Rattus norvegicus: one gene and its partners. The protein of the gene in region 3 interacts with the protein of the main gene of each other region in a biochemical or structural test. Links are inferred from orthologs where the notes say so. Each region holds a gene or a part of one and is shown on either strand. Other genes may lie near its edges.

Region 1 (3,500 bases), about 170 Mb from region 3:
CACAGGAGTCTAGCCAGGTCACTCAGGTCTCCTGGGACTGTGTGAAAGGCCACCTTGGGTCTTGGCCCTAACACTAAGCATTAGCTCTCTGGGCGCTTGGCAGCACCTAGGAACGGTGATTCACCCAGAGCAAACACCCATTTGCGCCAGACGAGGGGCAGTGAACGCCGGCTCTGTTGATCTTCCATCTGCAAATAAGCGAGAGGGTGAGCTGGCAGCGACAGGCTGAGAGCCGCTTCTGATCAGTGGCCGCCACTGGTCTCCCTGACGCCAGTGGCTCTCACTCTGCTCTTGGCTGCCACCCGCGAACACCCTTCCCTTTGGGAGTCCCAGGTTGGTGCCAGGGCCAGAGATGCTACCAAACACCCTGGGTGCAGAGGACAGGCTGGATCCCACATGGCTCTGGGATCAGGATGGCATACCTCCCCCCACCCCCGACTCCTGTCCTTAGGGCCAAGAAAATACACAACAGCAAGCTGGGATTTTACCAATTTTATTTCTAGATTTTTTTGTCTTTTTTTTTTTCCTGGACCATGCTGGTCACATGTCTGTGCTGGGAAGCGCCATGGTGTGTCAACCAGAATACACAAAGCCAACCTGACCACCAGCCAGAGCCCCTCAAAGCCATTCATGTCACAGGGCAGACTGTGTGGATCCACCAGCCTTTGGCCCTTTGGCCAAAACTTCACCCCATCACCATGGACACAGCAGCCCTCAAGGGTCCTGCCTGGTTGGGACGCCTCAGCTAAGCTGGTGGTGACCCTTTTGGTTTGGCAGCTTGCTAGGGAACCTGGGGCCTACAGCATTGCGGCTGGCTTTACATTAGCACAATGCTGTGAGTAACACAAAACAAGACAGAACACTAGAACCTAACAGATTAAATGATGCACCAGAGACTCAGAACAAATCTCTCCGGGTCCAGCAGCATGGTGGCATGCACAACAGGCCGCTACAAGTAACAATATTGATAACTAACAGAACACAGTTGCCCTGACTGCTGTGATGCTATGTCCCAGATCAAATGAAGGCCCAGCATGACAGGATGATCCCCAGCAGGGTCCCAGGGTCCCTGGAGGCAGACCACCCCACCCGCCTGCCAGGCCTATGCATGGCTAGGTGATACATGAGGTATTGTGTACAGGAACCTGTTTGTGTGTGTGTGTGTGTGTGTGTGTGTGTGTGTGTGTGTGTGTGTGTGTGTGTGTGGTTTTTTTTTTTTTTTTGGGAATACAGCGGTAATCACATTAATCCAAAATTGAATCACAATAAAAAAAAAAGTACAAAAAAGGGCATCTGTAAATACACTCTTCTACGAGGAAATTAAAACTTGAACATGGCAGTTTATGACATTGTAAAAAAAAAACAAACAAACCAACAACAACAAAATAAAACTGACCCTCCAATAGCAGCGAAAACAACATGAAAGATACAAAGCAACGTGAATCTGGTTCCGAACGCCGGGGATCCTGGGAGTCATTGGTAGCAGCGCTGTGAAAGGAGCCGCGGCCTGTCCCGTGTGGTCCCTACCCTCCATACTTCTTCTCTCACATCCCCTCTCCAGCCACCCGCTCTCCACCTCCCACCAACACATCCTGAACAGAAAGGCAGAGCCAGAGGTGTGCAAATTACCTACTGTTGCTAACTTGGGAGCGGCGGCAAGAATGTGCCAGACTCAAGACTCTTTTGGAGTCCCCTAATTTTCCTCAGTTTGGATGGCTCTCCAATGGGGCCAATTGGGTTGGGAAAGTCAAGGAGACCACATCTCCGTCTTTGTGGTTTGTTTTTTTTTGAGGACACCCCCACTTGCCCAATAAAAGACCAGTCTCTCAGACATGGCCCTAAACCTTCGCCAGCAGGGCAGAAGGTGTGCGTTTGAATCAAGGGAAGATCACATTGCTTTGAGTCACACGGGTCATGGGCAACCTTCCCAATAAATACTCTTCTGTAGCCTTACGTATAAATTAGAGATTTTAGTGTTTAAAAGCCTCCTGTGTGAAAGACTTAAGAGTCGTCCTGAATCCCCTTGTCCAGGTAATGCCATCACGGTCCCTACTTCCAAACGCCAGCTGGCACCAAAAGATCCCTCCGACTTTGCAGGAAGATCCCGGTGGTACGAGAACAGAGCTTTCTCTTCTCGACCCAACAAAACTTCCCAAGCACCTCATGCTACCAGCCCTACACACCTGCTGTGCAGCCATCAGAATTGAGTGTGTGGACATCCCCCAACCATTCCACTAGACCCCCTCCCCCACCGACACACACACACACACACACACACACACACACACACACACACACACCCAGCAACACTGCCTCCAGCTAGCTGACCAAAAGTGCTTTGAAATGGAATGGTTTTGGAACATGGAGAAGGAAAACATAACAAAACAAACCACACACAAAAGAAAAGCTGTGGGTTCAACCTGATGTGAGTGGGCTGCAGGGCCACCAGGCAAAAACCAGCATCTCTCTAAACAGGAACTACAAAACAGGAAGGTTACAAAAATAGAATATATTATGTCACTATTTCATCCCTACCGCTGCGTGGCTGGCTGGCGCTCTGTGAACCTGCAGGTTGTGGGGGGCAGAGGGCCCATAACATGAGCCCTGGAGGGTGCCACACGCCACGAGGCCGCTAGAGGTCGAATCGACCATCAGTAAGGTTAAGAGGTCTGCCCACTCCTGGGATAAAGCACAGGTATCATCAGGTAACAGGGCTGTAGGCACTGAACAAGCAGGGGAGTGAGGTTGAGGACCTTGCCAAAGCTGTGCCTTTTCAGCAAAGCAGAGTACATTTCTCTACCTAAAACCCTTCTACTTTAACAATGGTTTGCTGTATTTTTTTTCCTTCTTTTTTTAAAGCAATGTTTCTTAAGCTTTTTTTTCTTAAACACATAAAAGAATCAAAAATCCTTCTCAAGACTTCCTGTGTGTTAATCCTATTCTTAGAACAGACAAGCACATTAATAGAAAACTAGTTGATTACTGGGGTACAGAATTCTATTTTTGTAGCACCCCCCCGTCTCCCTATACTCAGGGTGATGCGAATTCTATCTCTCTCTCTCTCTTTAAGACAGCTTTCAGGTATTTTTTTTCTCTTTTGCTTAAATCAGATAGAAAGGAGAAAGATTAAGGAAAAACAACCAACAAAGAGAACAAAACTTCCCCTTCTGGTAACAACACATCCCCAAGGGGGACCTCGTCAGGAGCACCCGGGCTGGCTCCTTTCTCTTCGCGGATGCCACTACTTGGTGACTCCCGCCTGCCCGGTGGCCCTCAGATGTCCACATCTCGGACGTCGGTGGGTGTGCAAGCCAGACCAGCTTCTTCCTCCACTTCCCCTTCCTCCTCGGTGGCCTTGGGATCGATGTTCTGCTGGGCCTGGCGCAGGCTTGACTCCAGAAGGGCTTCAATCTGTTCCTGGCAGGCACGGAGGCAGTCCTGGAGAGGCGGGCGGAGATGGAGGGAGTCCTTGTTTAGCCAGAGGCCGGTGGCCAGGGCCT
Region 2 (3,500 bases), on a different chromosome or scaffold from region 3:
CATCCACATTCTTTTCTTAAAATTCTGTGTACTCGCCTGTGTGCGTGCGTACGTGTGTGTGTGTGAGTGCGTGAGTGCGTGTGTGTACATGTACATACATTTGCCACAGTATGTGTACTGAGGCCAGAGTGTTCTCTCTACCATGAAGGCTCCAGGGATCCAACTCAGGCTGTCAGCCAATACCCACTGAGCTATCTTGCCAGCCTTTACCTAACGCTTTTAAAATCAAAGGCAGGCAGCTAGCTATGTGTGTCTGATTCAGTTAGGAGACTCCACAGACGTGTTCCTACCAGACTCAAGAGCATAGGACGGTTTGATAGCCTCGCTGTTCTGGGACCAGGAGGGTTCTATACCAAGTTCTCCGAGCAGGGAGGTGTTTTCCTGAAGGGCATCTCTATACCCACCAGATAGGGCAGTGTGTTAGGATAAGAGGTGAACAGTCATGCGCGGGTCTCGTTTAATCTTGTGAACGTGAATTCCTGAATTCCGCTGCGAGGTATTCTGAGATTCCTTCAGTCAAGGTATGAGGAGCAAACACAGGTACCTGTGTCTCGTCGGTGGCGGTGTAATCTGCAATGGCTACGAACTCCTCGGGCTGCAGCTGCAGCTGCAACTGTGCCCCGTCCTGAAGGAGCTGCATCTCACAGCCATAGTCCACAGGGTCTTCCTCCTACCACCGCCAGGGACAGACAGAAAGACAACACTGTGAGCGCCTCTCTCTCTCTCTCTCTCTCTCTCTCTGAGCTTTGTTGTCCGTGTACGCGCCTCTCTCTCTCTCTCTCTCTCTCTCTCTCTCTCTCTGAGCTTTGTTGTCCGTGTACACATCTCTCTCTCTCTCTCTGAGCTTTGTTGTCCGTGTACGCGCCTCTCTCTCTCTCTCTCTCTCTCTCTCTCTCTCTCTCTCTCTGAGCTTTGTTGTCCGTGTACACATCTCTCTCTCTCTCTCTGAGCTTTGTTGTCCGTGTACGCGCCTCTGCCTCTCTCTCTCTCTCTCTCTCTGAGCTTTGTTGTCCGTGTACACATCTCTCTCTCTCTCTCTGAGCTTTGTTGTCCGTGTACGCGCCTCTGCCTCTCTCTCTCTCCCTCTCTCTCTCTCTCTCTCTCTCTGAGCTTTGTTGTCCGTGTACGCGCCTCTCTCTCTCTCTCTCTCTCTCTCTCTCTCTCTCTCTGAGCTTTGTTGTCCGTGTACACATCTCTCTCTCTCTCTCTGAGCTTTGTTGTCCGTGTACGTGCCCCTCTCTCTCTCTCTCTCTCTCTCTGAGCTTTGTTGTCCGTGTACACATCTCTCTCTCTCTCTCTGAGCTTTGTTGTCCGTGTACGTGCCTCTCTCTCTCTCTCTCTCTCTCTCTCTCTCTCTCTCTCTCTGAGCTTTGTTGTCCGTGTACACCGTGTACACATCTCTCTCTCTCTCTCTGAGCTTTGTTGTCCGTGTACGCGCCTCTGCCTCTCTCTCTCTCTCTCTCTCTCTCTCTCTCTCTCTCTCTCTCTCTCTGAGCTTTGTTGTCCGTGTACACATCTCTCTCTCTCTGAGCTTTGTTGTCCGTGTACGTGCCTCTCTCTCTCTCTCTCTCTCTCTCTCTCTCTCTCTCTCTCTCTCTCTCTCTCTCGATTGCTTCAGACATTCAAATGAGAAAGTATTTGTTATTCAAACAATCTGAACCACCGAGCGTTCTCACCTTTGGTCTACCTCTGTATCTCCGAGACAGGGTGACTTAGAGAAAATGTCTACGGGAGCAGGAAGAAGTGGGTGCTGGCCCTCAGCTTTATCAGCTTGCTTCCCAAGAGTGACACTCAACTAGTGACAGAGATACCACAGCTTGTCGGACTCCAGGGGTCTCTTCAGACCTAAGGCACCAGGCAGATAGAGCAAGAGCCTACGGAAGGTGCTGGAAACTGCTATAATCCTCCACCCTACTGCAAACAGAGCTCAAGCAGCCTGGCTGAGACTTTGCGAGTCTATGGCCTGTGCCCTATAGCCACCGTCTATCAGAGTAAACACGCCTTAAAGACATACTGGGGGTGGAAGTGACGGCTGGGTGATTAAGCGAGTCCTGGCTGTTCTCCCAGAGGATTCAAGTTCAATCCACTTGGCACCCACAATCATCTGAAACTCCAGTCCCAAGAGGTCTGACACCTTCTAGCCTCTGCAGGGACTGCACACAAACATGCACACATACAAGCAAAACATACACATAAAATAAAAAAATGAAAGATTTTTTAAAAACCAGTGACTTCAATACAACCAACAAAATCAAAACTACCTGAGAGATAATGTGTATCTTCTTCACGATACCTTAAACAAGGACACTAAAACCAGCAAACCATGCTTCCTTAGGACCCGAATGGTTATGGCCTTTAAATTTTACCACATTAACGCATTTCTGCCAACCCTAACTATAAGCAGTGTGGGGGCCTCGTAGCGCCACCTGCGTAATGCAGCTCAAGTCTTTTTTTAACACCACTTAATTTTTAAACTGCTTAGTCTCTAAACTTTCTTGGAAGTTACATGCTTTAAACAATGTAACCTCAAAAGCCCAGATGTACACATCTCCCCTCTCAAAACCTACTCTCCCTAAATGTGCTTAGAAAATGCACTAACTTGGGTTCGCTCTGACTCATCCAACCATTCTTTTCCTCGTTAGTCAAGAGTCTAGCTTTGCCTGAGTGGATGTACAGCCTGGAGAACAAAAACATCACATTTCCAGGCTAAGGAGATGGCTCAGCGGTTAAGAGCACGGGCTGCTCTTTCAGAGGTCCTGAGTTCAATTCCCAGCCACCACGTGGTATGTCACAACCGCCTGTAACTCCAGTTCCAGGGGATCTGACATATCTTCACATAGATATATACGCAGGCAAACACCAATGCACAGAAGTATTAAAGGAAAAAATTTCTGGTACCTGTGTAGTATTCCAGTCTATGAATTATCTGAGCTTACTTATCCAATCTCCTTTGTTGGAATATACACACTACTCCCAGCTTCTCCTGTTATCAATTATTAATTTCCTTGAACGCCAATCATCTTGCATGCACCTGAGAAGTTCCTGCGGATAAATTCTTAAAGTGTAAAGTTGGTCAAGGCTACCTTTCTCTTCTTGTCTGAGGGCGTTGTTTTGAGACAAGGGTCCGCTGTGTAGTTCTGGCTGGCCTAAAACACACTGTGTAGACCGGGCTGACCTCAAGTGCCAGCCTTCCCCTCCAAAGTGACAGGATTAGATGTGAGGACCACCACACTCTGCCCAAGACCATCACTTCTATGGCTTTTATTACAACGCTAAGGGCCCCCAGGACTGCACTAGGACTCAGTGAGATGGAGACTTGACCCACTGACCGTAAGTACAAAGGAGGCGTGTCCCTCGTTAACAGCAGGCGCTGATCCCTTCCTCTGTGCCCATCTGAAGGGTGCCAATTACTGTCCTGCATTTCCACTTGCCTGCCTTAGTGTGGCCATTCAGGATTCTCTGAGCATGTATCGGGCCTGTTTTAATTGCTAAGAGCCCAT
Region 3 (3,500 bases):
GTAAAACACAGCTTACAAAACCACAGCTTGTTGATCACGAACAGATCGTGTCTCCATTAACAAGGCACCTCGACAGGTGACAATGTTTCTCACTTAGTTACATGCCCCGAGCTATTTTACCTGCTATATCTGCTCATATGGCTGCACATTGTAGCCAACGGAAAAAGTAGCCACAGCATGTAGACACTGAGTAAATTAAGCTTCACCCAAATTCCCTGAACATCCCTGCTGCCCACTGGGATATGTACAGGAGAAGAACCCACAAAGCAGCCCTATTCCACCATTGGAAATAATAAGTCTTAGTTCTTAATTGCTCACAGATACCAAGGCAACATATATGGAAAAAATAAAATGAAGATGGACAAATTAGATTTTTTGTTTATATAAATAAAACTATAATGACTTACCTAAATGTGTTGTTTTCTCCTAAATATATTTTAGGCCTGTATCTTCCAAACTTCTGTGGCCTCGACTCACACAGTATAACATGGCTTCACCAGTCTAGCATCCATAGACTCCGAAAGTTAGAACCTGCCCTGACTGCATGCATACCATGTACTCTAAGACAATATTTTTTAAGGTTTGTTCTATTTTTAAAACTTAAACTTGGTAAAGTGACTTTGTCATTTACTGGATCGTGAGAAACATTTTTAAAAGACAGTTTTCAGCCCCCAAACTATTGAGAAGTACTTAGGAAGAGTAAAGTTGTTCGATTTTTTTCTTTTAAGAGCTTGTTCAATTTTTTAAAAATCCGGGGTTATTCAAAAGAAGAAGAAGAAGGGGAAGAGGAAGAAGAGGAGGAAGAGGATGAGGAGGATGAAGAGGAGGAGGAGGAGGAGGAAGAAGAAGAAGAAGTAGCAGCAGCTGCCGTAAAACACTCATTACTGGCATGGATATATCCCTTTCACCTTGAGTAGTAAGCCAAATGAGAAAATCCTTCTACCCAGATTCCACCTGTGTGTAAGTTTTATTTTAAGAATCTCTTTTCATTGTTGGTTTTTTGTGGGGGGGGGTGGTTGGGGGAAGGACCTGAATATCATTTGGAATAAAAGTTTAAGATAGGGTATATTCTGGTAAGAGTCTTTGCCGCAGAAAAGCTAAGCGGTGTTGAATAAAATGTGATCTCTTTCCCGTGTTCACTTTGTAATTATTAGCAAGGCAGTAAATAACCCGCCAAGGAGCAGCCTCATTAGTTCCCATTGAAATGCACTGGCATTAATTTGCAAAAATAAAAGAACTGAAATTAAATGGAAAAGAAAATACTTTAGGAACTCCACCATAAGGTTATGGAACTCACATTCTACCAATACCATCCTTAACAGCAAGAAAATTTTAAAGTCTGAATTAGACTTAATCGCCGTAGTTTGTTCCTTTAGCCTGCAGGGCGGGAGAGGGGTGCTGGGGATCTAGAGAATAAAGCATTTGCCTCTTCCGACTTAACCCAGAATCAAAGCAACTGAGATTAATTTGAACAAAAAAAAAATTTTTTTTAAAGTTTCCTTTACTGTTGATTTTGAGTTTGAAATCTGGGCCTGGACCCACTTCGCTGTCTGATCCTTTCGTTTCCTGGGTGGGCTAAAGGTGAGCTGGGATACACCATGATTTCATCCTTTGGTGTCTTCTGGGGCCAAGCCGCACCTTAGTCCTATTTCTTCTACTATAAATATATCTGGAAAGAGAACACTGAGCCAGTGGCCAAAGCCTGCCTACACTGGGCTAGTTCTGGTTCAGCAGCCTGTGAGCACCCAAAGACTTGTACCTGGCCCGTGAAACTCTAACAGGTGTTTACCAGACCCACCCACCTAAGCCTTCTGCTGGCCCTTAAGGAAAAGAAATGGAAATGAGAGGAAAGCGGGGAAGGGGTGTCAAAAAAATTTCTCTTAGGAGAAACAAAAACTGAGGACACAAAACAATTGTCACTTAGGTCATGAAGAGTCTGTGTGTCCTGGATTCCCCTGTGTCCTGGACTGCCCTGGCACAGTGCCGGCGGGGGGAGGGGGGTGCGGGCCATAGCTAACCTGAGTGCCACTCCAGCGCATTCTCTGCCTGCTGGGCCAGGCAAGTAACTCAGCTGTAGGGGATTACTGTGCCGGTGCCTCAATGTGGTATGTTGTAAACACATAGGACACCTATGCCAGCAATCTGCTCGAACTCAACCATAAATCAAAACTTGTTGAGACCCATTCAACTCCGGTACCAGCATTTCTGAGAGGCCAGAATTCAATCCAGAACCCCGGAATGGGGAAGAGAGGGGAAAAGATCTGTAGGCACCTCTGCCTAAAACCCTATCTTTTCCTGTATACCTTGAGTGTTGCCAGTCCAAAACTCTATCTAGTAGAAACAACATTGAACCCGACACCATGAAACAATTAAATTAAAAAAAAACTATTAAATCTTCCCTGAGTCCCACTAATCCCAAACACCTCCAGCTTTAAATAATAAAGGGGTTCCTTGCTAGTGGCACAAACCACTTGGACCTGGGGGTTTGCTAGCTTTAGCTGGCTTGCCCCATAAATAACTTCTTTAGACTGTTTTCCAATGCTTGTACAGTTAGGGAACACGGGGCCTTTTGGGTCTGACTCTCCCACAAGATAGCTACGGAGGAGAACATTGTTGTGGTTGGGGTTGTTGTTATTGTTGTTTTAAAGCCGCCAATAGAGAGAAGGCGGGCTCCGCAAAGAATCCTTCCTGACTTCCCAGAAGGGTGGGAGGGAGCGATCTGCAGCCCGCGATGACCCCCTCGTGCGCTCCCTCCCCAGGCCAGACCGGACACAGCGGCTACCCCGAAGTGGTGCAGGTACCTGTAGAAGGCGGGAGGGCCGGTGTCGCGTACAGCGTAGGCGCTGGGCTCGTTCTCCAGGTAGTAGGGCACCTGGTGGCCATGCGGGTGCAGGAACGGCGACAGCTGCGGCGGCGGGTGCAGCAGCATCAGCGGACTGGGCGACACGCTGTTGAGCTGGGGGAAAGCCCCCAGACTATTGGCACCAAAGGCGGCCGCCTCGGACCCCGGACCGTAAGTGATGCTCGACTGGCCATAGACCGGAGCCGAGGCCCCGGCGGCCGCGGCGGCGGCGGCGGCGTTGAACTCGTAGGCGGCGCCCTCGGGGTAGTTGAACACGGCGGGCTTGCTGTTGTCCACGTACACCTCGCCCAGAGCCCTCTCCATGGGCATCTTGAGCTGCGGGCGATTGAGGGGCTCCAGCTCGTTCCCTTGGATCTGGTGCAACAAGGCCATTCCCGAGGCTTTGGTGTGAAGGGTCATGGTCATGGTCAGTGGCAGCCGCCGAGGTACAGACTGGCTTCCCGCGCACGCAGAGGGCTCAGCAGCGGATGAGCCACCTGGAAAAAGAGTAGAGCCCGAGGTTAAAAGAGGCTCAGCGCAGGTCCCCTTGGCGCCAGTGCTGGCCCTGCCCCTGCCCCTGCCCCTGCCCCTGCCCCTGCCCCTGCCCCTGCCCCTGCCCCTGCCCCTGCCCCTGCCCCTGCCCCTGCCCCTGCCCCTG
Region 4 (3,500 bases), on a different chromosome or scaffold from region 3:
ATACACCACACGGAATTACTACTGTAGAACTCAGTGTACATCCTAAACCACACGGAATGACGGCTTTAGGAGTCAGTGCACACTACGAACTAAATTAAATCACTGCTGTGAGATTTCATGTACACTGCACACCACATGAAATCACGGTTCTAGGTGTCTGTGTGCCCTGACAGAATGCTATTGTTAAAAATTACACGTGGCAAGAAAATATACAACCATGCTCAACTCAAACACATCAACTCATACAAACATAAATCCAAGAGGAATGACTTTCTACACAGTCCTCTAAGACACAGAGATGAGCAGGGGCTGCCTGGTGACTCGGATGCTACCATTAGCATCATCTGAGTCTGCAGAAGGGGGAACTTCTGCATCTCACCATGATGCCTAGGTGCACAGCAGTTTGAGATCTTGGCATTAATCCATTTGCTACAATTTGTGAAGGAATACGATCCTTAATAATTAACTTTTGATTTATGGACTTAAAAAGAAAAAAAAATAAGGCACTTGGGAAATGGCTTAGCGAGGAAGATTCCTTGTTATTTAAGGAGGATGTCTTTAGTTCAAATCCCCAGAACTCATGTAAGAGATAATTAAGGAGTTATTTTGTATGACAAAATATGTCAGAACAGTAATTTCAAATAGGAACTCCGTTTTAGAGATTCCGTAGTGATCGATGCTGGAAATTCATATGTAATAAGCAGCACTCGGCCACACAGCCCCACAGCCACCCTCAGTGCGTTCACAGCTGAAGCACAGGGTGCTCCCCGGCACGACTAAAGTCACACGGTGGCACTGTGCAGAATGAAATCCAACACTGTCCAACCATATTCAAGTGTTCTTTCTGATCATAAACCATTTTAACCACATTTCCTTGATGCTAACATACATTAACATAAAGCTGTAGCAGTCCGTATAACTTTGAAAGACTCCATGAATTCCATACAGAAAGTACAGGAACAATACATTACTACTCCTATGAGGCAGCGTGGGCGGGCGGGTGTTAATTCGTGTGTGTCAGAGAGAGAGGGGAGAGGAGACAGGAGACAGGGGAGAGGAGGGAGAGACGGTAAGAGCACAGGGGGGCGGGAGGAATGTCAAAGAAAGAGCAGGTGTATGTGTATGTGCGTGCGTGACAGAGGGAGAGGAAGTGTATGTATGTGTATGTGAGAAAGAGACAGAGAAGGGGAAGAAGAGGGAGAAGGACAGTATATATGTATGTCAGAGAAGTGTGTGTGTGTGTGTGTGTGTGTGTGTGTGTCAGAGAGAGACAGAGTAAGGTTTTGTGTGTCCATCCCTATCATCCTGCCTCATTCCCACTGAACCCACAAAGCTGGCAGCCAGCAGGCCCAGAGCCCTGTCTCTATTTCCCACAGTGCTACCGTTAGAGTCAAGCCAGGCAACGCGTTAAGTGGGCACTGGAGATATGAACTCAGCTCTTCATGTTTACACACCAAATCCTCTCTTGTCCACTGAGCCAGCCCCACCCCCAATCACAGTACTTTATGATTTCTTTTTAAAAATGAAACCTGAGTATAACTTTTAAACACATGACTTATAAAGAATGTTACTATGTATCATCCAAATGGCTCTATTTGTCTGGTGAATGAGACAGGAGAGAGAGTTAATAACAGTTATACATTTAGCTTTGTCACTCCATTATTTTCTAAGACAAGAAAGACGTTTGCGCTCATGGACAGTTTTTTATTGTCACCAATATTAAGGACCATATTTGACATTAGCATACTGTGAGTTACTGCTATAAAAGTCAACCGTGCCGACATACCATCAAAGAAGCTCTTGGCCCTCAGGTAGCTGACGCTGAGCCTTAGAACGGAGAGTTTGTCCAGCTTACTAATAACATCTTGTGGGAAGGGCAGCAGGCTAGCCAGGCGGTCTAACTCTGTGTTCAGCCGGTCTCTGTGTCGTTTAGAAGGGTTCGACTTAATTCCTTCAGCAGGGACGGGCTTTACTCTGAAACACAAAGAAAAGCCTTTAGAAAACACAGAGCAAAAGTATCTATTACATTAAAACATCTGCTCAAGGGTTGCTCTACCCACGAAACACGAAGAGTTTCCCAATAAACCCCTCCACTACACTGCGAGCCAGCTTTTCTCACTAGCACAATTATGAAATAAGTGTCAGATAATAATACCACCAAAAATACAAAGAAATCTGTAACATTCATGCAAAAATATACTAAAACTGCTGAGTTGTACAATTGAAGCATTTTCATACCGAAAAAGCCTTTAAGTAAAAAAATCATTTTTAGGCAAATTTCACCTAGAAAAACTACTGGAAAACATGCGTTTGGATTTAGAAAGTATGATGTCTAGTCACTTGCCTAGTTAATCATTTACATATTGGTAATCACAGATTCTCAAATTTCTACTTCCTTGATTCTCCCTAAAGATTTTACTTAGTCTTCTCACGCAGACTAAGTAAGATTAACTATGCTGTTATTACAGGTACTTTTATGACCTCAATACAGAACCACTGATATTCTCTCTTTGATTGGATTTCAGACCTGCTCTATGAGATGGAGCCTGGACCTGACACCATGAATGAGCCCAAGAACCTGTGGCTAGATAGGACCCTAGGGGAAAACCTGTTACTATTATACTCTTAAATGGACATAGTAATAAAATGACTCCTAATGACTTATTGCTACACCCACAGATAAGTGCATTGCTCAACTCTCACCACAGAAGCTTCTTTCTGTAGGAGATAGCCATTAACAGACACACCCGCGACTGGCAAACATACAGCAAAAAGACGGAGAATAAGAAGTGTGTTCAACCCTGGTTGGGATGTTTATAACACATCCTTCCCCTCATGGCTCAGGGATCTATGTGAAAGAAGGGACATATCCTAAGAGCCAAAGACAGTGGATGACTTCAGGCATAACAGGGCAGGGGACTAACATCCCACAGAGACTGTGACAATGTGCACAAGTCCTAGGAAAGGTCAAGCCAGACAAAGCCCTAGCAAGGGAGGAGAGGAGGTCAACGTGAAATCTAACCTCTAGCTAAGAAGCTATTGTACTTGATAGCTGCTGGGAGAAAGAAAATCAAGTTTTCTACAGTGGAGTGACACGCACTCAGGAGTCTTGGCCAAAAAAGCTAGACGAGCCAAACACTAGGTGAGGCCAGGGGAACTCTGAAGAAAACCGGGAGGATTGTAGAAGCCAACGGGTCAAAGACACCATGAGAACACTAACCATGGAATCAATGAAGGACTCGCAGGGGCTCACAGAGACTGAAGCAACAAGCATGTGCCCTAGATGGGTCTGAGCTGGGACCTTTGCATATACTTTATGGTTGTGTAGCTTGCTGTTCTTGTGGGACTCCTAATAGTGAATGAGGGTGTCTCTGAGTCTTTTGTCTGCATTTGAGATCCTTTTCCTCCTACTGGGTTGTCTTGTTCAGCCTTGATAGGAGTGAGGGTTTGTGCCTAGTCTTATTGCAATTTCTTATGCCATATTGGGTTGATATCCTTGG
Region 5 (3,977 bases), on a different chromosome or scaffold from region 3:
GCTCCAATCGGAGCGCACAACTCCTGCGCACACGTGCTCAAAACTGAGCAGCTCAGCCAATGAACACCAGGCACGCCCTGGACCTGGGGGCGGAAACCACAGACACTCCGGATTTAAAGGCGCAAGGTTACCTTGTAAACCCAAGGTGCGGGGGAAGTAGTGAGTGAATGACAATCGTCCAGGGCCTGCTCTAGTTTTACTTTGGGGGTGTTTTGTTGAAGAAGGGCCTCACACTAAAGCCATGACTGACATCGAATTCTCTGCAGTCGTGCCTTAGCCTCACATCTGACCTTGTGTGTACTTGTAGTGGGAGCCTCAGTGTGGAGAAAGCTGTCTGAGCTCACGGTCCCTTGATGGACCAGGCAGACAAAACTGCACCTAGCCCAAAGGCCCACATTCTGTCTTTCAAGTTTGCCCCTGCTAGAGTGACTGGTGGTCTCATTTCCTTTTGGCCCGCTTGGCACACACCGGGAAAAGAGCTCTGTTACCTGTTGTGCGAACTCTACCAGTCTCTTCCCTTCTGAAACACTGGGTGCCAGTCCCTGTACATCCATAGAACAGCTGTGTCTGTTTATTGGAAACCTACGATGTGCAGGCCAGGGCAAGATGGCCACTAACAGCTTAGCTGACGAGATATGCTGGTCTTCTAGAGCATGAAACAAGCCTATAAAGAGCACTGGCTAGAATCCTGAGGCCAAGGGAGAATTTTGAGGGTTTGTGCATCCTGCTCTCTGACACTCCTGAGTACTCACTTGGTTCTGACAATTTTGGGAAGCATGTTACACACGAGCAAAGTTGAGTCCAAAGATGAAGAGCTAGGCCCAAAGACCCGGAAGTCTCACCACCACCACGGGTCCCTCACGCAGAGACTGCCTGTGTCCCTGACGTTGGTACCGAAATCTCTCCGGGATCACGGCCAGCTCAGGGTCTACAGCAGCCCAAGCAACAATGCCTGGACCCGACCCTCCACGTTGCGACTGGAGACTGGAAGTGGTGATCGTCTCCAGCAGGACCCCCGCAGGCCTCTCCAGTCCCACAACTCGAGGCCTGAAGCTCTGGGAGTCGCCTAGCAGCACTTCCCGCAGAGGCCGCGGCCGGGAGGAGGCGCGCGCGGGTTAAAGGGGCGGGGCCGGCGCTGACCCAGCCCGCGGCTCCCGGCTACCCTGCGTCTTCCTAGCCCATAGGAGAGCTACGCCACCATGGAGGCCACCGGGGTGCTGCCGTTCGTGCGCGGCGTGGACCTCAGCGGCAACGACTTCAAGGTTAGATGGGGGGAAGGGAAGGGCGACCCCTAGTTCGTCTCTCCCGGCCGCTCCCTCTACGCTTCCGGCACCGGCGGGCGGGGCGGGCGGGCGGGCCTCGGTGAGTCTTCCCGGGCCTGCCCCGCCCGCGGCGGAAGACGTGGGCCGGGGCTCCGGGATCTGGGGCCGCGCGGGATTTGAGCCCACAGGCCGCGAACCTGACCCCATGCCACGGAGGGAATACGCCCTAGCCAGCCACCGCCCCACACTGCGGTCTCGAGACGTCACTTCTCCCTTAGCAAACCTGGGCTTCTCTCCTCCCCAAGGGGCTTAGGAACAGCCCGTTTGGAGGCGTATAAAGGAAAGAGATCTGTTAGTAAGGATTGTGACAGGTGCTTGAGGTCCTAGGCGGCACGTCTGCCAACTGCTAGATTGATGGGCTAGGGGGATAAGCAGCCAGCACCCTGGTTGACCATAAAGAGTCAGGCTATGGGCGTGGTGGTGCACGCCTTTAATTCCAGCCCTCCGGACGTAGAGGCAGGTGGATCTTTGATTTCGAGGTCAACCTGGTCTTCAAACCAAGTTCCAGGACACCCATATCTACATAGAAAAACCCTGTCTTGAAAGAAAAAAAAAGTGCCAGCTAGTCTCAGACCCGAAAACAGGAAAGCTGGACTCAAAGGACAGCTCAGAGGCCTGGACCTTCACTGCCTGGCGTCCGCCCCTTTTGATGTCAGATTGGGGGACGCAGGAGAAGGAGGTGGGCTCCTCCCGTGTTCACCTGCACAAGGACACGTTTGACCCTGTACACAGTTGTCACTTTACCCTGTCCACATTCTCACCATCCTTACCTTTGGTTTCTCTAGTCTCTCTCAATTGAGAACATCTGAGTCTCACTTTGGGGGCTGTGACTGGAGGAGGAGGAAACAGCAAAAGGCAGTTGAGCTTCATGCTGCTCAGATGTCAAAACTGCCAGGTGTAGCCACCAGGAGGTGGTGGCAAATGCTTTTAATCTCAACACTGTGGAGGCAGAGGCAGGCAGATCTCTGAGTTAAACCTGGTCTCAGAATGAGTTCTAAGACAACCAGGACTACACAGAGGAACCCTGTAATTGGAAATTGCAGGGAGGACAAAACCATAGCCTGGTGTGGTGGTACAGACCTTTAATTCCACAGCATTAGGAGGCAGAGGCAGGTGGATCTCTGTGAGTTTGAGGCAAGCCTGGTCTACAGAGTGAATTTCAGGACAGCCAAGGCTACACAGAGAGAAACCCTGTCTTGAAAAGCAAACAAAGGAAAAAGCCAAGGATGCTGAAGCGGACATTGCCTGTGAGGAACGAATGAATGCGAGAGATTGTGCGAGGAACAGTGGGGAGCTGGGCTCTTAGTGCAATCTGGGGAGTGTCAGGGGCAATATTATCTCAGACAGCCAAACTGCCTAGAACCCTGGGGGAAAACAACATGAGTGCCACTAAGTACAGTGGAGCACTGAGTAGCCCTTGAAACAGGCCAGGCTTGACCTCCCTGAGACAGACTCCAGCTGGAAAGACACGTTTGGGCCAGAACTTTTGTCTTTCCAGGGCTTTCATTTAGTGCCATTTTGTGAGTAAGGAATAAGAATAAATACAGGGCTGGAGAGATGGCTCAGTGGTTAAGAGCACTGACTGCTCTTCCAGAGTCCTGAGTTCAATTCCCAGCAACCACATGGTGGCTCACAGCCATCTGTAATGAGATCTGGTGCCCTCTTCTGGCCTGCAGACATACATGCAGGGAGAAAGCTGTATGATGTATGTATAATAAATAAATATTTTTTTAAAGAAAAAAGAAATAGAAATACAGAGTATTCCTCTGGGGACCACAGAAGGTAATGGGAGGGGAGCGCTCGTCTCCTAGACTGTACTCACCTTACTGTCCCCCACCAGGGCGGCTACTTCCCTGAGAATGTCAAGGCTATGACCAGCCTGCGATGGCTAAAGCTGAACCGCACAGGTCTCTGCTACCTGCCTGAAGAACTAGCAGCTCTGCAGAAGCTGGTGAGGGGCGGGGTAGGACGGGGCGGGTCCCCATCCTCAGGGCTAGGCCAGGTAGGCTTACCCTGCAGGAAAGAGGAGTCACTGGAGAGGAAACAGAAATAGCTGTGGGCAAAGCTAATGGAGTGGAGTGGGCACCCACCTGGGAGGTGTGCAAGGAGGGGACTCTTGGGGTGGCCTTCCAAGATGGTGCAGGGACAGGGGCAGTAGGCAGGGGCCGGTCATCTTAGGTCCCCACCTGAGCCTCTGACTCTTGTCCTGTCCAGGAGCACCTGTCTGTGAGCCACAACAATCTGACCACGCTTCATGGGGAACTGTCCAGCCTGCCTTCACTTCGGGTGAGTGTTGGCCAGGGCTGTGGTAGGGTCAGGCATGGGGCAGAGACGCTCTGCCCTCCTCACCTCTGCCTGTGTTGCTACAAGAGGGCTCCTTGTGTGCAGGAGCTCATGAATGGGAGAAATTTCTGAGAGAAAAGCGAGGACATTCCAAAGCCCACTACCTCCTCGGACAGTTGTGAACACGGCAATGTAAGGAGAACATGGTGCTAGGCCACGTTAGTGTGTCGTATGTGCCTTCTAACCTACCTCATAGGTAAAGACTCCTGGCCATGCAAAAGTCACCCCCCAGGCAGCAATGTAGCTATGTGACTGGGCCGGGGAGGTGGCCTGAAAATCAGACTCTAGCCAGCCTTACAGGCTTCAGTCAGG
Region 6 (4,103 bases), on a different chromosome or scaffold from region 3:
CTACCCCGACCGACCAGCTCTTACAGTCAAGCATCTACTCCTCTCAAAGTGCAGTGGCCCCTTCTAAAGCTTACTGGCCACTCAGGCAGCAAAGGCTCGGTCTGTCTTCACCTCCCCCCCCCCCAAAAGCCCGCGCTTGTTCTTGGTGCCAACGAGGAAAAAAAATTTAATACATAAATCATTATCACATTAAGAAATCAGAAGAATGGAGCAAAACAACTAAAAAGATATATGATATAACCTATTTTTCTAAGAACTAATTTCTAAAATCAAGTTATAGTTCTCAAGAGCATCTTCACAGTGCCGTCCGAAAATACCCCAAAACATTACCTTTATCCTTAAAGCAAGGCACTCCCACAAACTCAGGTAGGTTGTGTCCCTTTCCAAGAACATAAAAGAATGGTGTTAAGTACACACTGTACTTTGGGTGCCCAGAGGGTTTAGGGTTTTTTGTTTGGATGTTTTGTTTGCAATGGCAAATGTTCTATGTAACAGCTGAAGCCCCATAAACAAGTAAAGCAGTCAGGTACTTAAAGTCAAATGTTAAGTAAAATTAGATTTTAAAGACAACCACTATTTTGTGAATTCTTAGAATATGAAAAATAGGTAATTTGCTTTTTGGAACACTTGGTAATATTACACAAGGATAAGGTGTTGTATATATCTTTAAAACACTGTGGCAAAAATAAAACAACCCCTGGCTCTTTCTGCAAGAACTTTCTATGAGGTGAGTAAGTTGACCTTTAAGATACTTTAACCACAGGGATGACAGAGTATGTGAAACCACCTCGCTCTAACAAGCATGCAGTGAAGGCTAATCTCTGTTCTGCTATACAGCAGAGACCAGGTGGGAGAAAAGCTATGTCCCACCTGTGACTGAGAAACTGTCAGCCAGGGGTGGCCACACCTCGAGAGGGACTTCTAGGTAAGATTCTCTCCTCCCAAAATGCCCTAGGCCCTTATACCACCCCCAAACCCCTAAGGTAGAGATGCCACAGTCCACACTGAGTCGCCTCAGTCTCTCCCTGCCACCTTTGGAAAGGTAAACAAACAACAATCTTAAACACCTAATTTATAGGTCTGCAATCCTCCTTCAAGGCAGGTGTCTTTGGCAATTCCCCAGTGAGCACCCCACTTAAGACTTCCACCAAATACTCACTCACAGCTCCCAGCCTTACCAGGTCGTGGGTAGCCCCAAGCTTTATGGGAAGAGAAATCACTCCACAACACTCATGCACAATTTGGTCACACACAACAGCGACTCGGCTTTCAATTAAAAGCATACCTCCCCAAGCCAGCCCAATTGTGGAAGCCCTTCTCTGAGCGCAAAAGTGTGGCCTCCCAGCCTGGAGGCACTGGCCCTTTAAAGGTTCTGGCTTCCTGTACACCCGGTCCCTCCCCTCCTCGCCTGCTCCCGCCCCGGCCAAGGGTCACACTTGAACTTTAGGTTGCCCAGAGCCTAAAAACCTTAGCCACCCACTTGCGCGCGCGTCAGAAACCGTACCCAGCAAGTGGGAACGCTCGATTCAGGCCACTTTGGATAAAAAAACCAAATTTGCCCCGGCCTCGGGGAACCTTCGGCAACTGCTGGCCCGCACAGCGCTCAGCACGCTGCGCGTTTAGCTAACCCATCAGCTGCGGGAGCCCCGCGTGTGCGTGGGGAATGTTTCCAGTGCTCCCGTCACCTCTGCTGTCGGGTCCGAGGGAACCTCGTCGGCCAAGGGTCGGGAGAGTGGGTGCGCATGTGGGCGGAGGAGTCGCCCCGACCCCTCGCAGGTCCGGAGTGTCAAGTGGCGAACCCTTCGAAGCCAGCCCCTCTACTCCAACAACTAGCCAACTTCCAAGCCTGCTCTGGCATTTCACTTAAGTTCTCAAACAAGCCCTCCCGGGGTCCCTCTAGAACTCCCTCGCCTGCACTTCGTCCAAATTTGGCTCCAGGTCTCGGGGAAGCCCCCGCCACACCTGCCATTTCTCGCCCGCTCTCTCCGTGCGCCCATCATTTCCGGGCCCGGAACACCCACACGGCCGACCCTCGGCGGGCCCCAACAAATCCACCCCCCCGGGCCGCCCCGAGGCCGTTCACCTTCCAGCCCGCCGAGCTGTTGCTGTCGCCCTTATCCTTGAAGTAGGGCACACTCTTCACCATCCACTCGTAGATCTGCGACAGGGTGAGCCTCTTCTCCGCCGAGCTCTCGATGGCCTTGGTGATGAGGTCGGCGTACGACAGGTTGCCCCACGCGTTGCGGCGCGACGAACTGGTCTTGCGCGGCTGCCCAGCGAGTGGCCCCGCGGCGGCTGGAGGCACCGGTGGGGGCTGCGACAGCGGCCCGGTCGGTGGGGGCTGCGGCGGCGCCGAGTGCACGCAGCCCGCCTCCGGGCCCTGGAAGTCCCCGCACAGGCCCCTACTGGCGGCAGCTGCGGCCGCCACGGCCACGCAACCCGGTGCCCGCGCGAAGTCCTCGCTCTCTTCTAGCAGGCTCAGGTTGCTCATAAAGTCGGTGCTGACAGCGGACGCCGAGGCCAGGCTCGCCGTGGCGTCGGGGTTGGCGGCCGTGCTGCCCGACGGCGCCGGGCTGGAGGTGGTCGAGTTGGACTGGTTAAACTCCGGCCTGGGCAGCGGCCAGGTGCAGGAGCGCTGCCGAGGCAGCGGCTCGAAGTCCGGGTCGGTCTCCACCACCTGAGGCGCTTCGGCCATGGTGCCCCCCGCCCCTCCCCCACCAGCAGAGAGTACCAGGAGACGCGGCCACCGGGGGCGCGGAGCCGGCGCTCGGAGTGTCGCTCCGAGATTGGGGGCCGCGGACGGCGGACGCACGCCGGAGCGAGGAGCGGCGCAGCGGACGGACGCGCCCAGAACTTAACTTCGCTGGGTCACCGGTGTCGGGGATCCTCCGAGTTCGTGCCTCGGACGGGGCAAGGACCAGGCCGCGGAGCCCGGCAGCTCGGGCACCACGCTCCTGATGACAGGGCCGCGGACGCAAGGGCAGACCGGCGGACGCCGCGGGCCGCTCTCTCTCCCCCGCGGCCGCGCGACAGCGGCGCTACTGCCTGTTGAATGTGGCGGCGGCGGGGACTGCAGCGACTCCGCAGCCTCCCGTCTTACGGGATCTGCAGCGGCTCCCCGCCCGCGGCGGCGCGCGCGCCGCCCCGCCCTTGACTGACAGGCTGCGCGACCAATGGACGCGCCAAGTCTCTGCCTAGACAACCAATGAACGCGGGCCTGGGAGGGAGCTCCTTTCCCTCGGGAGGCGGCAGTAGGTTGGTGGGGGGCAGCGGGGTGTTTTTCTTTCTCACACACTTTTTTTTTCTAATCTCCGTTATTATTTTCTGTAATTCTCAAGTGTTTCTGAGTCTCTGGCGCCTCAGTGTTCGGATTGCTAGGAGGCAAACCGGCGTGGAGGCGGCGACCATACTTTTGTTTACTACGGAGTGCAATCGAGTACTCCAGGCAGTGCCCAGACCCCGACTCCCGGGATGGCGCGGAGCCGCTGCGCGCTCCCGGACGCGACGTGGGCGGTGGGGCGCCTCGTGGATTCCACTCAGCCCGCTCCGCCCACGCGTCTTCGCGGAGCTCTCGGGAAGTCGGTGGGGTTTGTTTTGGAGAAATGTTTTCTTAAGCTGGCATCTGCCCGGGCCGCCCCAGGCACGAAGATCCTACGGTGAAGATCCGTCGCTCTGCGGCTCCGGATTCCCCTTCCCACCCTACCTGTGCACACCTGCAAGCCGAGCCTCCGCGGTTCTCCAGCCCCAGCCCCAGCCCCCAGCCTCCAGTCATCCTGAACCCAAAAGAGGTGCGGCGCGGGGAGAAGACTGTTGCACAAGCACCTAGATCCAGTAGCGCCTCAGATCTGAAGTCTTCTATGGAACCTCTTTCCTGTTACGAGAATCTCACTTTTTCCTGAGGACCAGAGTGGTGGCTAAAGGGTCAGAGGAGAGTGTTTAGAGACAATCTTGTCACTTTATTGCCCCTAATTAAATTTAACTGGTTGCTTACTTCTTTTTTATTGAGAATGGAAGCGATGAGGTGTTGAAGTCGCAAAAGGAGATAAGCCACAATTGTTGGGGCACAGCTCGTCTCTCCAGTTCTTTAAGTTCCCAAACCCGGG
Region 7 (4,234 bases), on a different chromosome or scaffold from region 3:
GAATGTAGTAATGCCATGGAGCCAAGGATTCCATCAGAGACGGCTGAGCACACCTAACCGGAAGTTGATGAGAATCCGAGAGACCCTCGACCGTACTTGGGATATCTTCCTGGTCCGTGTATAGCAAGTCTTTGGCAGCAGGCCATACAGTATGTGTCTACAGTTCACAGGTTTACAATAGGCTTCAGCAGCTGCCTAGCAGCACTTTTTAAAAAGGAAACTTGATAATTAAAGATTTATAGAACAATCTAGGAAATCAACATGGAAGGCACAATAGCAGTTATGAAAATTGAACACCATCTATAAATGTAAGTGAATTTTGTGGGGTTTTTATTGTATTATACTCACAGCAAATGCAAATTGTTTTCCACTATGTAGGCTGACAGAGGGCTGAGCAAAGAGAACATGCAGCCTTCTGGTTTGTAAAAGAAGAGGATCATATTTAATAACCATGAAAAAATCAATACATCCCCTAAGTGTAAATCAAACTGTGGGGCCTTTGGATATTTCCCCTTGCAATTTCCTGTTTGAAGTTGGTCTGCTTGATTCTCTTTGATATTGTTCTTAAAGATGCATTCAATCTATGAACTCCTCAGGGTGTACCATCTACTAGGAGACAACCTGATTCATGAGAAATACAGAGTTTGCCAATAGGAGGGGAAAGAAAGCCATTAGCCCTGGCTCTCTGTCCCTCTTATATTAGGGTATGCCAGACTCAGACAGTAGAGTGTATCAAACCTGTATAGAGAGAAATTCCAGAGATGTAAACCCAGTTCAGTCTCCCTCTCTGATTCAATTCACCTGAGCACAGAACTGTTGAGAAACTATGTTAAGCACCATAAAGGAAAACCAGATACACCAGACATCCTTTTCCCCACCAGGAGCCTGGAGCACAGTAGGAAAGATCAAAGCAACACAAAAATGATGCAACCCAGATAGGATGTGGCCAATGGTCAAGAGAGAGTCCAGAACACAAGGAGACATTATCACTGGGGTAGGACCTGGGGAAAGTTTCACTCCAGGCATTTAAACGAGATTTTGACAGAAAAGTTTCAGGCACACAGAAATGGAGGAAATAGTGATGTCAGGAAGAAGGACCATGAGGCATTAAAGAGCAAAACTGCACATGCAACTCTGCAGAGACATATGAGATTTCCGTGAGTCATCGCCTGAGGAGAGAAGATGATAGCAAGGGTACAGAAACAGTGATGATTTTTAGATTCCATCTATCTAATGGAAAATGAGAAGAGGGCCACAGAAAGGTTCGATGAGATCTGGGAGAATATATCCAATGAGGAACAGAGCCGACTTTTTTTTTTTCACCATGCCTCAGCATGTCGTCTCTGCCTGTCATTCTTTGATGAAGCAAGTATCCTAGTTTCCATTCTTTAATGCCCTGGTGGGAGACTCCAGGCCTCAGTTGGGGTATCTACCCAACCTGTACAGCTGTCAGCAACAAGCAGTTCACTTTAAACCATTGATAGAATGACCCTCTTGAAGAGCCCCTTGATGCGTCTGGCCAGTGGGATTTGGTACGGGCCAAAGTCTGTCTTTAGCAGTGTTAGCCAGATTTCAGGTACTATTAACCGCTATCTATGATAGTCCACTGAGAAAGGGGAAGGTGTTCTTTATCTCGCAGGTTGCACATTTCAGCCCATGGGTTTTTCAGGTTCTGGGTTGAAGTAGGAAGCCATGATGGGGGATGTTGAACTGAGCCAAGTAGTTCTGCTCATTGATGCCAGGAAGCAAGAGAGAGAACAAAGGGCTTAGTGTCCCCTTTGCAGAGATGCCCTAATGACTTCTTTTTATAGGCTGCATCTTTAAAGGTCCCATCCAGTCCAATAGCAGCAGGAGCTGGGGTCCAAGCCTCAATATCAGTCATTGGAAGATATCCTATCCATACTGTTGCAAATGGTGATGTTGTAGCATGCCTCAGAGGAACAAGAAATGCCACAGTGACATGCTCATCCTGTAGGGTTGTCCAAGGAAGCTGTTCATCAAATAAAGCTTATTACTAAGGAGATGTTATCTAGACCCGATCAAACTGTAGGAAGTTATGAACTTTCAGAAACTAAACTACAAACATGTGCTGCGGAGTTTGAATTTTTTAGGTGGCGGGGGAGGAACAGGGGTTAAGACAGGGTTTCTCTGTGTAGCCCTGATTGTCCTGCGTTGCTCTGTAGACCAGGCTGGCCTATAACTTACAGAGACCCACCTGCCTCTGCCTCCCAGGCGCTAGGATTGAAGGCATGTGACACCATGCCCAGATGGAGTTTGAATTTTAGTAGAATATTGTCAAGGAGAAGCAACTTAAGTATTCCCAGTAGAGATGGCCGAATGGATGTACTTCACACATTATCTCTGTGGGCAGATATTGTGACAGGAAATATATTCTTTGAAAGATTGCTTACATCGATCATAATGATTAGCTAATAGTAATCATTAGGAGTGCAGAACAGCGCTTGGCACGGCGATACATGCTTGGAATCCAGCACTCTAGAGGCAGAAGCATTCTGTACAGAACGTTTGAGAGTCTGAGGCTAGGTTTGGATACACAGGGCCCTCTAAAATAAGTAAGTAAATAATAAATAAATAAACAAGTAAATAAAATTTTATAAATAGGAAGAGGGCCAGTAAGAAGCTCAGAAGGTATGAGTGGGTACTTGCAACACAAGTTTAGCAATGTGAGTTTGATCCCTAGAACCCACACTGGCTGCAAAGTTATCCCCTCCCCCACCCTTGTCACTCATGCTCACACTCATCCATAAACATACAATAATAACAAATTTTTTTCTAAAAATTAAAGGAATAGAAAACGTTTGAAACCCATATGACATTATAGATCAAAGATATTCCTTTGAGATTTTTCCATGATTCATGGGAAGGGCTGTGCATGGTGTGGGGTGGGACAAACACGGTAGCTAGCCGGTAGGTTGCAGTTTGGGGCCTGTCATATTTCAGATCAGTATATTCCCGTGTTGTACTACACTCTGTTGTCGACCTAGTTGGCAACCTGTACACTTGAGAATTGAATTCTCCCTTCAGAATGCTGCTCATATATTCAGCGAATCTGTTTGCAATATTTATCACAAGTTAGGAGCCTGGTCCTTGTACCCGACTGACTGGGTTTAGATCTGACAGCATGACCCTGGAAAAGGTACTGACCTTCCTGCCCCTGACCTCCCTCATCTTTAAAGCAGCCTTGCTAATAATACCCAACTCACAGAAGTGTCAAAAGGACTAAAGGGGCTCATATGTATAAAATGCCTAATATGTAGGGGAAAGTGCCCAGCCACTCACAATTATGTGTTAATTCCCCTACCCCCACACCCAGAACACGTGTACTTTATCTGTTCTAGGGGATTCTATCCTGCCAAGTGAAAAGGTAGGATCTTCATCTTGGGAAATATTAAACACGAGAGTGAGACAGGGAGGGGAGGGACGGGAACAGGGACGGGCACACACACACACACACACACACACACACACAGGCAGAGAGAGAGAGAGAGAGAGAGAGAGAGAGAGAGAGAGAGAGAGAGAGAGAGGGAGGGAGGGAGGGAGAGAGAGAGGCATCTAGAATTTTACTCATTGTATGCACTAATCTCCTTAAATTCACATCCCAGAGATGAAAGGATTACTGTAAAGCAGGATCAATACTTGGTTCATTTCACATCCCAGAACTTTCTTTAGAAACCAGGAAAGCCTGAGGCTGCAGAGGAAGCATCAGCAAAATTTAAATTATTTTGTACGTCTTAAGCTTCAAGAGTTATTGTGTTCTCCTCCAGGGATCGCGCCTCTCCCTGTGTCATTTCACTTTTCCCTTAACATTCTCAATTTCTCTTTATTTCCAAGTCGGAGTGCTCACGGTCGCCATTCTTCTGATGTGGATACAAGCACTTCAGCAAAAATAGCTGCCTGAAGACGTTGAACGATTCCATTCACTTTAATACACTGTGACTAATTGGGGGAAAACGGCAAGCAGCACGTGAGGATTCTGCGTGTGCATTGGAGCCACTCGTTGGCACGGTGGCAGCATACATTAAATGGAATTTTAAAATACTGGGTAATGAGGAGAAAAAGTCCGTTTGCTTGGTGGAATTCTCTATGGACACAGCGTAGGGAAGGAGCGGGGGAGTTTGTAGCCATTATTTCTAAACTGCATGACACCAGCCATTTCTGAATCTACTTCCTTATTAAGGAAAACGATTAGAGTCAGAAAGGAACACATAGCTTT

Evidence for each region.
Region 1: the proteins of Esr1 (region 3) and Ccnd1 form a complex in vitro, tested with the Homo sapiens proteins (2 studies listed by BioGRID). The link is inferred for Rattus norvegicus from reciprocal best matches to the Homo sapiens genes ESR1 and CCND1.
Region 2: the proteins of Esr1 (region 3) and Prmt2 form a complex in vitro, tested with the Homo sapiens proteins (2 studies listed by BioGRID and IntAct). The link is inferred for Rattus norvegicus from reciprocal best matches to the Homo sapiens genes ESR1 and PRMT2.
Region 4: the proteins of Esr1 (region 3) and Ahr form a complex in vitro, tested with the Homo sapiens proteins (4 studies listed by BioGRID, with this or other methods). The link is inferred for Rattus norvegicus from reciprocal best matches to the Homo sapiens genes ESR1 and AHR.
Region 5: the proteins of Esr1 (region 3) and Flii form a complex in vitro, tested with the Homo sapiens proteins (2 studies listed by BioGRID). The link is inferred for Rattus norvegicus from reciprocal best matches to the Homo sapiens genes ESR1 and FLII.
Region 6: the proteins of Esr1 (region 3) and Foxo1 form a complex in vitro, tested with the Homo sapiens proteins (2 studies listed by BioGRID). The link is inferred for Rattus norvegicus from reciprocal best matches to the Homo sapiens genes ESR1 and FOXO1.
Region 7: the proteins of Esr1 (region 3) and Grip1 form a complex in vitro, tested with the Homo sapiens proteins (2 studies listed by BioGRID and IntAct). The link is inferred for Rattus norvegicus from reciprocal best matches to the Homo sapiens genes ESR1 and GRIP1.

What each region holds. Positions count from the first base shown.
Region 1 is NC_086019.1:209,517,811-209,521,310, forward strand, and holds the end of Ccnd1 (G1/S-specific cyclin-D1), read right to left. Parts: coding exon of another isoform or gene 3,439-3,500; coding exon 3,274-3,438; 3' UTR 478-3,273; downstream 1-477. UniProt on the Homo sapiens protein: Regulatory component of the cyclin D1-CDK4 (DC) complex that phosphorylates and inhibits members of the retinoblastoma (RB) protein family including RB1 and regulates the cell-cycle during G(1)/S transition.
Region 2 is NC_086038.1:12,400,815-12,404,314, reverse strand, and holds part of Prmt2 (protein arginine N-methyltransferase 2), read right to left. Parts: intron 671-3,500; coding exon 545-670; intron 1-544. UniProt on the Homo sapiens protein: Arginine methyltransferase that methylates the guanidino nitrogens of arginyl residues in proteins such as STAT3, FBL, histone H4. Acts as a coactivator (with NCOA2) of the androgen receptor (AR)-mediated transactivation.
Region 3 is NC_086019.1:43,644,190-43,647,689, reverse strand, and holds part of Esr1 (estrogen receptor), read right to left. Parts: intron 3,340-3,500; coding exon 2,802-3,339; intron 954-2,801; exon of another isoform or gene 729-953; intron 1-728.
Region 4 is NC_086024.1:57,988,902-57,992,401, forward strand, and holds part of Ahr (aryl hydrocarbon receptor), read right to left. Parts: intron 1,975-3,500; coding exon 1,787-1,974; intron 1-1,786. UniProt on the Homo sapiens protein: Ligand-activated transcription factor that enables cells to adapt to changing conditions by sensing compounds from the environment, diet, microbiome and cellular metabolism, and which plays important roles in development, immunity and cancer.
Region 5 is NC_086028.1:45,904,692-45,908,668, reverse strand, and holds the start of Flii (protein flightless-1 homolog), read left to right. Parts: upstream 1-1,177; 5' UTR 1,178-1,199; coding exon 1,200-1,262; intron 1,263-3,162; coding exon 3,163-3,273; intron 3,274-3,536; coding exon 3,537-3,608; intron 3,609-3,977. UniProt on the Homo sapiens protein: Is a regulator of actin polymerization, required for proper myofibril organization and regulation of the length of sarcomeric thin filaments. It also plays a role in the assembly of cardiomyocyte cell adhesion complexes.
Region 6 is NC_086020.1:138,461,671-138,465,773, reverse strand, and holds the start of Foxo1 (forkhead box protein O1), read right to left. Parts: upstream 2,801-4,103; 5' UTR 2,696-2,800; coding exon 2,084-2,695; intron 1-2,083. UniProt on the Homo sapiens protein: Transcription factor that is the main target of insulin signaling and regulates metabolic homeostasis in response to oxidative stress.
Region 7 is NC_086025.1:57,224,451-57,228,684, reverse strand, and holds the start of Grip1 (glutamate receptor-interacting protein 1), read right to left. Parts: upstream 2,801-4,234; 5' UTR 1-2,800. UniProt on the Homo sapiens protein: May play a role as a localized scaffold for the assembly of a multiprotein signaling complex and as mediator of the trafficking of its binding partners at specific subcellular location in neurons.